2 linked regions of the Drosophila melanogaster genome follow. The protein of the gene in region 2 interacts with the protein of the main gene of each other region in a biochemical or structural test. Each region holds a gene or a part of one and is shown on either strand. Other genes may lie near its edges. The genes, in order: Crtc and Sik2.

Region 1 (4,811 bases), on a different chromosome or scaffold from region 2:
GAGAATCAAAACGTATTTACAGATATTTTATCGAAAAGTATTTGTTGCCAAGCAGATTGTAAATATACTTAGTTAAGAAACAGCCAAATTGAATTTAATGGAATGACAACATATTTATAAAATAAGGATTACAGAGATTTTAACTTTATCGAATTGAATTGAATTGCTCATAATTGCGGGAAATATTTTTGAATGTCACTGGCATTACTCACTACCACATTGATTGCTATAAAAGCTGGGAAATTTAGTACTTTCTCAAGACATTCCCAACTGCTCAAGTATTACTTATTAACTCCTACCCTTCTTCAAAACCTCATTAGTTTCCACCATTAGCTAATTTAACCTTATCGATTTCTCTTTTAGGCGGAGAAAAGAATGGCTCAATTAAATCGATTGAGGTAATTCCTTATTGAGAAACCATACCTTAGCTGTATCCAATGCATAACTTTTAACGCAGATTTCTCTTTAATTCTAATTTATCATTTTGATTTGTTTGCCCGGGGATTCTTGGAACTAACGTTTGAGTTAAAATATTTTGCAAAGAAAATACTCAAGTGTTGGTTGGTTGTTGTCGACGTGTTAATTCCAGCTAAATGCTTACTCATTTTATATATCGTAACTTCATATTTATTTTATGTGCGAAAACTTCGCTTAGTGATATACTCAGAAAGTTTAGTCTTTTACTTTACTTTAAGGCAAATCGTTAAATTATTTGCGAAATAAACATATTGAGTAATCATGTTATTTCTTGAAAACTTGTGACTTGAAAGGCGTTTAGAACGTCTGAAAAGTTCAGAATCAGCTATTCAAGTTGTATATGTATCCTTGTACGGATAAAAATGTACCCATAGTTTGCTTATCAATATCCAAATGAGATACCCCCATTCTCATTCAAATGAGTCCCACTTCGTGACCATCTCTATATCTCTGTAGAACCCTATGCGATGACTAATCCAAGCAGATATCGGAAGTGTAAGGCCCATTATGGCTAAAACGCGATGCAGGAGCAAAGAGATTTAAATGCGGCTCACACTTTTGGACGAGCCGGCAATTGCGGCCATAAAAAGGCCGAGCACGCCTCAAACTAAACAAAGGTAGATATTACTTTACTTTTTGGGAGGGACTGGACTTTTTTTTAGGGGGTAGGCAATCAAAGGGAGGGGTGCTGTTGGGCAAAGCGGAAATATTCCCACGAATCGATAATGACATTTAATAATTATTTAATATATTGCGGCCGATAAAAATGGTGGTCATTTACCACAGGAAAAAACAGCTGTATATTTAATCGATAAGAACAGATAAACAAATACTATAATTTGTAAAGTCACATTTATTCATGTTGAATACAAATGAATTATAATTTTGTTAATTTTTTGATAAGAACAGATAAACAATACTATACTTTGTAAAGCCCCACTTATTCACGTTGAATACAAATTAATTATAATTTTGTTAATTTACGAACATAAAACTTTAAAAATAATGGTATTTAATGAAATATATCTTTGGCTTGTTAAGCACAATTAAAGGTCTCAAAATAAAATGTTATAATTTTATGGAATTATTATTATATTGGTCAGCATATTTCGAAACAAAAAGTAAGTTATTTTTTCTTTCCGTGCCAATTTTTGAGTGTGAATGGCCCATTTGTTCTCTCGTTGTTCCTTCTTCTCCCCACTTATCCTTCCATATCTCTCTCCCATTATCATTCTCCCCTCGACACGGGGAGACACTCCTGGGAAACCCTTATCAGCAGTTTTTTTTATAGCCACTCGCGTTCCTTGGAATTTTTGAATAATTTCGATGTTTGTTTATTTATCGCGCGGCGCAACCGCAACAGTTGAAAAGAAAACTAAGAGGGAGGGGGAAAGCGATTTGCAGAAACGTGTGTGAAGCAAAGAGGCGGCAAAAACAAAACGAACTGCAAAGAGGGGGCGGGCGAGGGCGTAACTTACATTCTCTCTCGTTCGCCGCTAACTCCGATTGGATCTCTTGCTCTCTCTGTCGCTCTTGTGCTATGCAAATTGGATTCTTGCTTGATTAAAATCTCATATAGAAGAATTAAGTTTTTGGCGCTTTTTATTTGTTGTTATTGTTATGACCTTTTGCGTTATTTTTTTGTGTTTTTTGCGTCGCTTAATAAAACCAGATTTGATTTTGAGTTGTTTGCGAGCCGAGAGTTGTTAAATCCAAAAATCGGTTTGCTGGGGGATTATTTTAACAACTGATTGTTTTTTTTGTGTTATTTCTACTCGCTCTTACACACACACACACAGCCGCACGCGCACGCACACTTCGAGAGGTTTATTGTTTTAACGCAAAACTGCGACGTTGTTTTTTTTTTATTTTGCGCTCTCAGCTGGTTGGCACTTTTTGCGCTATTTTTTTGGTTACCGCATGAAAAGTGAAAAACTTTCGTTGCGCCTTTGACCTCTTTTCACACAGACACACGCACACACACACTGCTAGGCGGACGAGTGTGCCTCTAATTGGGTGTCCAATTGGGATTACAGCACGCAGCAAAAGCGGCGGCGTCGGCCGATTCTATATTGCATTTCCTTGATTTCTATATATTCTTTGCCCCGATTTTTTGGCTTTTGTTTTTCGCACACCAATGGAAAAGCTCACCAACACACGGACACACGCGCGCACACACACTGACACGCGGGACTGTGGATTTTTGCGGGCAACGGGACTTCTACTGTTGTGCACACTCACTCCGCAGCAATCTCGTATTCTTATTTTCGTTTATTTCGCGTTTTTTATGCCCCTATTTTGCTCTGCTGCACTCTCTCACTCGCACAGAGAACAACTTATTATTGCTGCTGCTGCTGCCTTGCTTCTTCTTCTTCGCTCATCTTCGTCGCTGTGATGGCTCTTCACTTTTTCGCTTTGTTCTGTGGTTTTTCCGCTTTTCCTCGCACGCCGTTTTAATCGCGTGTTAGTCGTGCACTTGTACAGCAATTGCGCGTCGCCTTTTTCAACGTTTTTTCCACGTTTGTTTTGTTATTTTTCCACTTTTTCTCATATTTTCCTCTGCTTCTTCGATATCAGGAGGTGTATTGGTATGAACCTATCGGGGCCATCGTTCTCCGATACTAGGAAGATATCGGCTATCGAGTTTGAAATTGGCAGCCATGCAGTGTGGCCAGAATTTGGTTGAGACAAAATACATTGCTGAACAGCGAACAGGTGATGTGTGGGAATTTCCACCAGATATTTAAAGCCAGGGCTGTCATTTCTACTTTATTTAAATGCACGTATATGATATTCAAGTCATTTTTTAAGTGCATCATATTAAATAAAAAATACAGCTAAGAGCGTAACAACTAATCAAAGTTTACTTTTTACTGATGAAAGATAAAGTGGGCTAAACCAATATGATATGTAACATAAGTTAATTATCAATTGTCAGTATTAATCAGATTACTGCATTTGTATGTAAGGTATATATATTTACAGAATAAACAGAACGTTTGTTTTTTTAAAGGGAAATATATTTTTGAAAATATTATATCTTGGGTTTCGATGTTAATCGCCGTGCAATCGGTTCGAGTCCTCACTTTTAGTCGCTTGGTAAGGTGTCTTGTCATTTAGTCCAATATATGGTATGGTGTCTCCGCTAATTTAGATTCGCAACGGAATTTTAAAAATAAATATTGATTTGATATAATTAAATAGTAATTATATAATTTACATTTATTATATGTGTTGTATTCCATGGAAATAAATAACTTACATTAAAAAGGCATACACAAATTTTATTATTAATATGCTGTCTCAAACTCTCCGTTTTGTTGACTTTGACAAAGCAAATTGTGTGGTTGCATTAGTTATTCTGCAAGCGTAATTAATGTATATTAAATTCAAAAGTTCTTAATCCATCATATTAAATGAGCGGAGCAATCATATAAAATGAAATGCAATTTAATATGCCCATTAGAAGCTAAGATAAATCATCAAAAATGATTTGGATTTCGTTTTTGGGCGCTTAAATTGCATCAACCAACACATTCAAATGGGCTTTTGCGTTCGCGTGTGTGCGTGCGGGTGTCTGTTGTGTGTGTGTGTAAACGTCTGTTTCCCTTTCCGTTAACATTTTGTGTCTGGTTTCCGGCATTTTGTGTGCGCCATTTAAAATTGTTTTCCACGATACGAATCTGCCAAACGCTCTCTTTTTCTCTTTCGTTCCCGCGAATGGAGAAAATTTTTCTTCTCGCAGACACTTGAAGCAGGAATTGGTAGCAAATTGGCGGCCTCGGGGTTACGAAGACATTTAAGGGCCGACAAGGAAATGGAGAAATAAAAATGAGGGCCAAGAATAAGGCCGAGAAGTTGGAAGAAGTAGGAGGTACTAGGTAAATTGTGTGCAAGCGATAGAAATCTCTCAGAACATTTCCTGTTTTTTTTCTTTCATTCCTATTCAAAATATTTGCCCCTTTTTTGCCTTTTTCCTTGTTCCTTAAACTTCTCTGTTACCATTCGTTTCGTGCATTTATTCCAAATTCTTTCATAAATATTTGCGCCCTTTGTGCGCTTAATTCATTCATCAAACTGTCAAATGAATGTCAAAACTAATAGAGCGCCCACTAGCCCACTTCCTCCCATAAAAAACAGCCACGAAAAGGTGCTCAATTATTGAAATGAATTAGTGGGCGCCAGTGGGTGGGCTTAAGCCGATTTCTCCTCTGCCTTTACTAGGGCTTTTTGTCCAAACATTTTCCTACAGCACGTTTTATGGCATAAAGAGTGGGTAAGCTCTTCCAATGAGCTTGGACACTTAATTGAAGTTAATTTCGATTTAGGGGTTC
Region 2 (8,161 bases):
GAATGGCTGCCCAGGGACAGCAGACTAAGCACACCCAAAAGACTGAGACAAAGGACAAGGACTTGAAATGTCATCGTTCTGAAGGACCCGAAGGAGTGAGCCTGGAGATGGAGGAGCTGCCCGATCAAAAGGACGCGGTCCAGAAGCTACCTTTGCCAAGTGCTGATTTTACGACCGCCAATTTTAACTCCATCAGCATGGACACCATTGTGCCTGTGACCGATATTGATGCCTTGTTATTGAGTACGCCACCAGCTGCTCCGCTGCTGCGCAAAAAGGCGCAGGGGCAGGCGCCGGGACACAGCAGCAGTAGCTCATCCAAAACGGAACGTCGCCGCCGCTTCCAAACGTTTCCACAGCCTCAGCTGCAGCTCCAAGCTCAGTCAATGGATTGTAGCGAACTTTATGACTTCTTAAGCTCTAGTTCCCTGAGCTCGTCCACCGATAGCGAGGCGGAAGTAGGTGGTCATCGACGGCACGACACCGATCGCGAGGGCGACGATGAACTCACCGACTGGCCGGGAAACGAATTCGGACCCGGAGCCAGATACGATCCAAAAAGGAAGCTTACAAAAAAATCACTACTGCCTCAAATTCGCTCGGATGACACAATTGGAGAAGATGACACTCTTATGTCTGGCACCGAAGCGGGAGCGGTGGGTATGGAACCGCCTTCGAAGTCTCCAGTCCAACTTCCAGAATCTCTTCAGGATCTTTCCCGCTTCCAACCAGCCGGCGTCTCCGAGCCTATCGAGATTCAGAATGCCTGCTCAGAGATGGAAACAAATGCAGATGGCACCATGCCGGCTTCCCGCCAAATCGAGAGTGAGATGTCCGGCGAAACCTCTAATCCGTTTCTTTCCTCGTCGCCTCCTGGACACGCCCAGGGACAGGAAGTACGTGAGATACGAGCAGGGTGTCGCCGCATCAATGGCGAGCGTCCAGGATTCAGCATCAAGATGAGCGTCAATGAGCGCATCGCCCGATTTTTGCAGGATTCGCAACAGACACAGATCCGTTTGCCGGATATAGAGCTTTATGAGACCGATAGCATGAGTAATCTGGCCACGCTCTATTCACTTACCATGGTGGTAGAGCACGGATGTACAGTGCTCACCAAAACCGGGTAAGGATAAAGGGATACTTATTCAAAGTCTATAACTAAGTTGTTGCTCTTCCAGGAACACTACGCAGACGGTGAGCATGGATCATCTTCAACAAGGTCTGCAGCCGCGTGCAGATCTCTTTGGCGATTTTAAGCGGCGCTGCTACGGTGAGGAGGGAGAGGAGGAAGGAGAGCAGCAGCAGCCGCTTCAGCAAGATCCCGGCCAGATTTAGCCCCAGAAAGCAACACTATAATCCAAACAAGACCAATCCCTAGCAAATGCAAACGTACAGCCATCAGCACTCGAGGTGAAACTCTTGGCATACGCTTGCATTTCTAGGGTGGAAGAAACCCTTAATCTATGAATGCTTTTAGCTTGTTTTTGTGAAATCTGTTCCATGTACATAAGTTGCATCGGTCCGTGTATATACTAACTGACTTCGTTAGGGAATGGCGCCAGCAAGACGGATACCGGATCCCAGATCCCGTCGGTTTGGGCTCACGCTTGGAAGCGAGCGAGATGACACGTTTCAGAGACAGAGAGAGAGGACCGACCGAAAGCCGTCGGCAGCCGTTCCACTGTACAAAATATTTAATGTAAGACCTTCAGCGAATATGAATATAAGAAATATATATGTGTGGTCATATCCGGAATACATGTGGACTTCATTTTTACCTAGAATGTGGTGGATATTTTATATAAAAGAGCAACATCCCAATACAAATCAGTAGCAAAAGTATATCTGAGTATATCTGAAAAAAATTTGAAAATAGTTCAAACTCTTTCTGTTAGTTGTACCGGTCACTGTCTATCTGAAAGCTGAATCGGTGAAACGGGTTATATTGCATACTGTTTTACGATCAAAGGGCGCGAAATTCAAATGAATTCCATCAAACTTCCCACCCTCGCGAAAAAGTTGGCGCATGCTCGATGCTCGGCACTTGGCGCTCACTTGGCAACCCTCATGTGTGTGCTGGTGAGGGTCGGAAATTGAGGGGCGAGTGGGTGGAATGGGGCAGACAGCGCCGAGCTTGCGTCAAATACGGACGCCAGTTGGACGCAGCTCGGGATTGGAGGCAGCCACGTTTCCTAGCCATCTGCCGTGTGTGTCGCAGCGACTGTGTCTGTGTGTGCCGTGCTGTGCTGTTCCGAGCCGCATGTGTGGCGCTCCGCGGACGCGATGTAAAGCGGATCCTCGCCAGCGTTTATCCTCTCATAGCCAGTAACCGGATTCGGATTAAGCTGGCCCAGCCTGTAGCCTATTCTCAGTTTTTGCCACCGCTCCTGCTCGAAACTTCTTTGTCAACCGGCGAGGCTTGTGCTTTTAACGCTTTCACCAATAACGGTATTTTTGGGGAGAGCAGCTTTAAGGGGAAATCTCCTGGCAGTGGTTCTGAATCGGTTGCACTGCATCCTGAAGGAAACAACAGTGGCCACTGGCACCGCGGAGCATTTCCACGATGCGATGCGGTTGCTCTGCTTATTGATTTTTCACCAACACTCACCCACACACATACACTCGCACGCTGGCACCCACACACTTTCAGCCGCACACACAGTCAGTGCTGGCACCTCGGCCATTTTGTGGCTGGAAAAAAAGCCATTTTGAAAGCGGAAGTGCAGCGTCAGCCATTTTCGTTGAATGTCTTCCTTTTGGTGGGCACTAACAAATGGATCTGCATGTCTTTGAGGACCTCAGCTAATGGTTTTTAAAATATTTGTCTGTACCTGGTGCGCATATGCGATATGCGAGTGAAATAACACTATTATTATCGTGATAGATTAAATTTAAACGTGAATCCAGTTTACCATTGCAATTGAACTGTGGCAACACTGCCTGAGAAAGAGAGGGAGAGTGCAGCTTTGGTGGCTTGTGGAGTCCGCGTCCGAAAGCCATACACATACACACTCGGAAAGCCGAGGTAATCTCTTATCAAGCGACGACTGCCCACCCCTTCTCCGGAGTCATCCCGTTCTTTATTGCACTTACATATTTTCTATGCACATATATGTACATGGGGAACACACAACATTAGTCGCACATCCATTCAAAAAGTTTCAGTTCATTATTGTATTGTAATTCTACCCAAAATATACCACTCTACTTTTTCTATTCCCGCAGAAGCGCTGTCATGAGACAGGAGGTGTGTGTGAGCATGTGCATCACCATCTCGCTGTCGATCGCGATCTCCCACTCCCTCCGCCTCGCGCTCTCCGTGTGAGATTTCCCGCCCAGGGTGGCGCAGTTGGAAAATGAGCACGTGCGAGGCGGCGGCCGCTGGCGAGAATGGGAGCCAGGCCAAGTCCGAGGAGAGCCAGCCGCCGGAGGATCAGAAGAAGAAGCAGCCGCAGCATGAGAGGAACGAGAAGCAGCTGGATAAGCCGCCGGAGAATTTGCCCCAAAACGGGAAAACCGAAGCAAAAGGAGCAGAAGGAGCGTGTTCACACCCCCCACTGGATGCCCTCCGGAGCTCAGTGCTCCTGGATGCCGGTGCTGCTTCGCCCTCGATAGACGCAATAGTGGCTTGCAAGGATGCACTGCTCGCCCAGAAGCTCTTTGCCAGCGGGGGTGGCTCCACGCCCGGTCCCAGTCCCACATCCTCTGCGGTGGGCGCGGGCGGTATCAGTGGCAAGGACCTGCTCAAACTCAAGGAGCCCATGCGCGTGGGCTTCTACGACATCGAGCGCACCATTGGCAAGGGAAATTTTGCAGTGGTCAAGCTGGCCCGGCATCGAATCACCAAGAACGAGGTGGCTATCAAGATCATTGACAAGTCGCAGCTGGACCAGACAAACCTACAGAAAGTCTACCGCGAAGTGGAGATCATGAAGCGCCTGAAGCACCCTCACATCATTAAGCTCTACCAGGTCAGCAGAATTTGCTGTGGCAGATCCTGCCAAGAATCGTATTCCTAATCCCGTTCTACCAATCCCACAGGTTATGGAGACCAAGAATATGATCTACATAGTGTCGGAGTATGCCAGCCAAGGAGAGATCTTCGGTGGGTTGAGGCTTCATTTTAAAAAAAATTTTTTAAACTCGGACTGTAGAGTACAGTACTCGATTTAGTTAGCAGACTTTTGAACCCACATTGCGCACAGACTTGTTGACCTTTGGACGAACAACACTAGCTTTAAATCTCTCGCATTCTCTTAAGTTGATAAGGGTTTCAATGAGATGGACTTACCTTTATATTTTATCCAGATTACATTGCCAAGTACGGGCGGATGTCCGAGTCGGCGGCGCGCTTTAAGTTCTGGCAGATCATATCGGCGGTGGAGTACTGTCACAAGAAGGGCATAGTGCATCGGGATCTCAAGGCGGAGAACCTGCTCCTGGATTTGAACATGAACATCAAAATAGCGGATTTCGGGTTCTCCAATCACTTCAAGCCGGGAGAATTACTGGCCACCTGGTGCGGATCACCGCCGTACGCAGCTCCCGAGGTTTTCGAGGGAAAGCAATATACGGGTCCAGAGATTGATATTTGGGTAAGTGGTGCGAAGTATACGTGTCAATTTATCCAAAAATGTATAATTTCCTGCAGTCACTGGGCGTCGTGCTTTATGTGCTGGTATGTGGGGCCCTGCCCTTCGACGGATCCACGCTGCAGAGCCTCCGGGATCGGGTGCTTTCCGGTCGCTTTCGCATTCCGTTTTTTATGAGCTCCGAGTGCGAGCACCTCATTCGCCGGATGCTGGTACTGGAGCCCACAAGGCGGTACACCATCGACCAAATCAAACGCCATCGCTGGATGTGCCCCGAGCTGCTGGAGCACGTCCTGATAGCCAAGTACAATCTGGGCGCCGAGCGGCAGACGTCCGTGGAACCCAGCGAGGACATTCTTCGCATCATGGCCGAGTATGTCGGCATTGGGTCGGACAAGACGCGAGCCAGTCTTAAGAAGAACACTTACGACCATGTCGCGGCCATATATCTGCTCCTGCAGGATCGAGTTAGCCACAAGAAGGAGCAGAGCAACGGCTTAGGCGCCAGCGCCCTTGCCTCGTCGACCTCCGCCAGTCGGATGATCTACAGCTCCAGAAATGACCACCAACCGACGCAGCAACAATCGCAGCAGCAGTCCAAGACAATATCCACCAGCTCGATCCTGGCCAAGGATCAGTGCCACAAAAGACTTAGCCGCCATCAGACGGTACTCATGAGTGAGCGTAACGCCCACGCCGGCGCGACACCCACAGTTCCAGATCCCGGTCCCGGATACTACGCCAAGTATGGCCCACTGCAACTGCCACTGCCTCTGACGGGCCACTCCCACCTGACTGGGTATCTGAATGGAGGAGGCGTCGAGGTGGATGCCAGCGGCATTCCGCTGCCCATGCGGTACACCCCGCTGCCGACAGCCGCGTCGCCCGCTCCCTCTAACTGCTCATCCACATCCTCGAGGGTAGGACGACACAGTCTAAGCTCCAGCTCGCCGCGAAGCCATCGACCGGTGGCCATTTCGCTCAGCATCGACAACAACCCCTCGCTGGCCAACCTGCGGTGCAGGGAGATGATGGAGGCTGGAGGAGGACCCGTTGGAGCAGTGGGTGTGCCTCTAGCGTCCAAGCAGCTTCATCAGACCATCAGCGAGTTCATCATCAAACAGAGCACCGAAGACTGTCGTGCGCTGCTGCAGCAGGTGAGTTTTCGGCTGATTCTATCCCAAGTTATTTCTATCCTTATACTTTCGGCAGTCCACAGCAGTGGCTGAGGGTAAAGATGATCCGCCAAAGGCGGAATCAAGCGTAGGAGGCGTTCCTCCGCCCGCCTCTACCACACCCACATCCAGTACAGCGGGACCGGAATCGGGATCGGCTCCCTGCCCTGGTGAGATTAACGGCAAGACAATAAAGACTATGTCCAGCTCGAGCAGCTTCGATTCTAAGGCCAATTTGGGCCAAAGCTTTCGCTACAAGATGTCCGCCGAGGCCAGCAAGCTTTTCCAGACTCTCCAGGAAAGCCCACTGCCCGTGGAGGTGAGTGATACGTGTGAGTTAATAATTGCTTCCAGCTGACAAATTCCATTTCCTCTCCAGCAAAGGACTAAGCGTCGTGTGCACGTGGGCAGCACCAATGGCAGCGGCGGTGACTCCGGCCAGGAAACGAATGATGCGAAATCGAATGGCGACAGGTGAGTCTTGCAGTCACAGCGATAGTTTCTTGACTAATGTCGTTTTCTTCCGTTTCCGCAGCCGCTCGGAGAAGAAAGTTCTGGCCCAAGGCAGCTCCAGCACAGATGAGGGCTGCGAGACAGACCAGGGCAACGATCCGGGCTCTGCTTCCCAGGAGTCAAAGGGCAGCAATGGCGGCGGTAGCGGTAACGCCAACGGCGGACCCACCTCGCACTCCAGCAGCGATCTGACGCGGCTCGTTGGAACCACTACCTCTGGACAGAGTCACAAGATGCGCTCGTATGCCAGTAGTAGCTCGTCCAGTGGCGTTCTCGCCGGGAGCGCTGGTAGCTACTCCAAAAGTCTGAGCCAGAACCTGAGCCGCGGCTCGTCCAAGAGCAATTGCAGCGGTCCCTACGATAGCTTGGACTTTGCCTTGCCTTCTGGCAAGGGCAGTCTACCCTCGTGCATGGGCTCAAGTTCGATGCTGGCCACGCCCACTCCGGCCTCGGCATCGCCAGCGGGAATCTCATCGGAGCATTCATCGGAAAGATCGCTGTACGGGAGCCACAACTCCTGCATCCATATGCCAGGAGCTCTGCCGTTGGGCTTGGGCCTTCCTCAGAGTTCAGCCTCCACGCCCACGCCGAATCCTACGCCTCCGCCAAATGGCGGTGGTGTCACGTTCCTGGACAAGCGTTCACCCATACACTTTCGCGAAGGAAGACGGGCGAGTGATGGCCTGGTGGCCCAGGGCCTGCTTAGCTCTGGTTCCTTGCTGGGCACCAGTCGTGTGTACGGAAGTTATCGCTACGAGCAGGCCAAGCGTCACGGTTGGCTGGAGATCCAGCAGCTGCAGCAGCTGCAGCAGGAGGCGGCTGTGGGGCATTCACACCCACATGCCCATCAACATCCGCATCAGCATCCGCATCCTCATCCCCAAGCGTACGGCTTGGAAGAACTCTGTCAATTTCCAAATGGTCAATTCTATGCTCTGCCGGGCAAGCATCATCCGCTGCTGACTTTGCCCCATCATCATGCGCATCCTGCGCAGCATCACCATGGCCATCATTCGCTGTTCCATTCAGGCCACCAAGCCACACCTCTGCTCCTGGAAGCCGCTGCTGGTGGGGATATGTATGGTCATGGATGCTATGCTCCGCCACCGCCGCCACCAGGGCTATACACGCACCATCAGTTGGGCGTGGGTATGGCCGTGCCCATGTCCCCGATGCAAAAGCCACCGCTGCAGCAGCAGCTACTGCAGCACCGCCTGCTTCAGCAGAAGCGTCAGTTGTTCCAGAAGCAGTACGCACTGGAGGCGCAGCTAGCCGGTCGACATCACCACCATCAGCAGCACAGCCATCACCACCATCACCACTTTGGCCACAGCCTGGGTCCGCCACCGCCGCCGGCTCCGGCTCCGGAACATCACCTGGCCGACGAGTTGTACGAGTTGGCCTTGCTTGATCGGCCCAGGAGCGGAACTCCTAGGCTTCAGCACTCCATGACCATGCCCGGAGCTCATGCCTTCAGTCAGATGAACCTCAAGACTTCCTACATCAGCCAATCGGACCAGGTGCCTGGTGCGGCGCCTAATGGAGCTGGTTCCGGAGGATCAGCTGCTGGGGTATCATGCTCAGCTCCACCGTCCACGGCGCCGGGTACGCCCACGGTCAAGTGCAAGCCTACCACGCCCCACGGTCACAGCCTGGACTCCGACTATCATGTAAGTAAGCTAGATAACGCATATTAAGATGATTTCTCAGGCATCCCAAGTTCGTATATAAACCTTATCCGTTTTCTCCTTGTGTCCTCCGCAGACATCGACGCCGGTGCTCAGCCTTTTCACGCCCAATTGGCAGTCGCTGGTAAAGCCGCTCAGCGAGAGCCCCATCCTGGAGATATCGGAGCACCTTGAGTCAGTCTGAGGCCGT

Evidence for each region.
Region 1: of the proteins of Sik2 (region 2) and Crtc, one has a biochemical effect on the other in vitro, tested with the Drosophila melanogaster proteins (one study listed by BioGRID).

What each region holds. Positions count from the first base shown.
Region 1 is NT_037436.4:17,666,152-17,670,962, forward strand, and holds the start of Crtc (CREB-regulated transcription coactivator), read right to left. Parts: upstream 3,084-4,811; 5' UTR 1,956-3,083; intron 1-1,955.
Region 2 is NC_004354.4:2,055,912-2,064,072, reverse strand, and holds the start of Sik2 (Salt-inducible kinase 2), read left to right. Parts: upstream 1-2,157; 5' UTR 2,158-2,451; intron 2,452-3,228; 5' UTR 3,229-3,359; coding exon 3,360-3,974; intron 3,975-4,044; coding exon 4,045-4,108; intron 4,109-4,311; coding exon 4,312-4,598; intron 4,599-4,654; coding exon 4,655-5,752; intron 5,753-5,807; coding exon 5,808-6,089; intron 6,090-6,149; coding exon 6,150-6,244; intron 6,245-6,305; coding exon 6,306-7,953; exon of another isoform or gene 7,954-7,962; intron 7,963-8,016; exon of another isoform or gene 8,017-8,047; coding exon 8,048-8,155; 3' UTR 8,156-8,161. Other genes in the region: CG4281 (uncharacterized protein), read left to right, coding at 1-1,126, 1,182-1,338.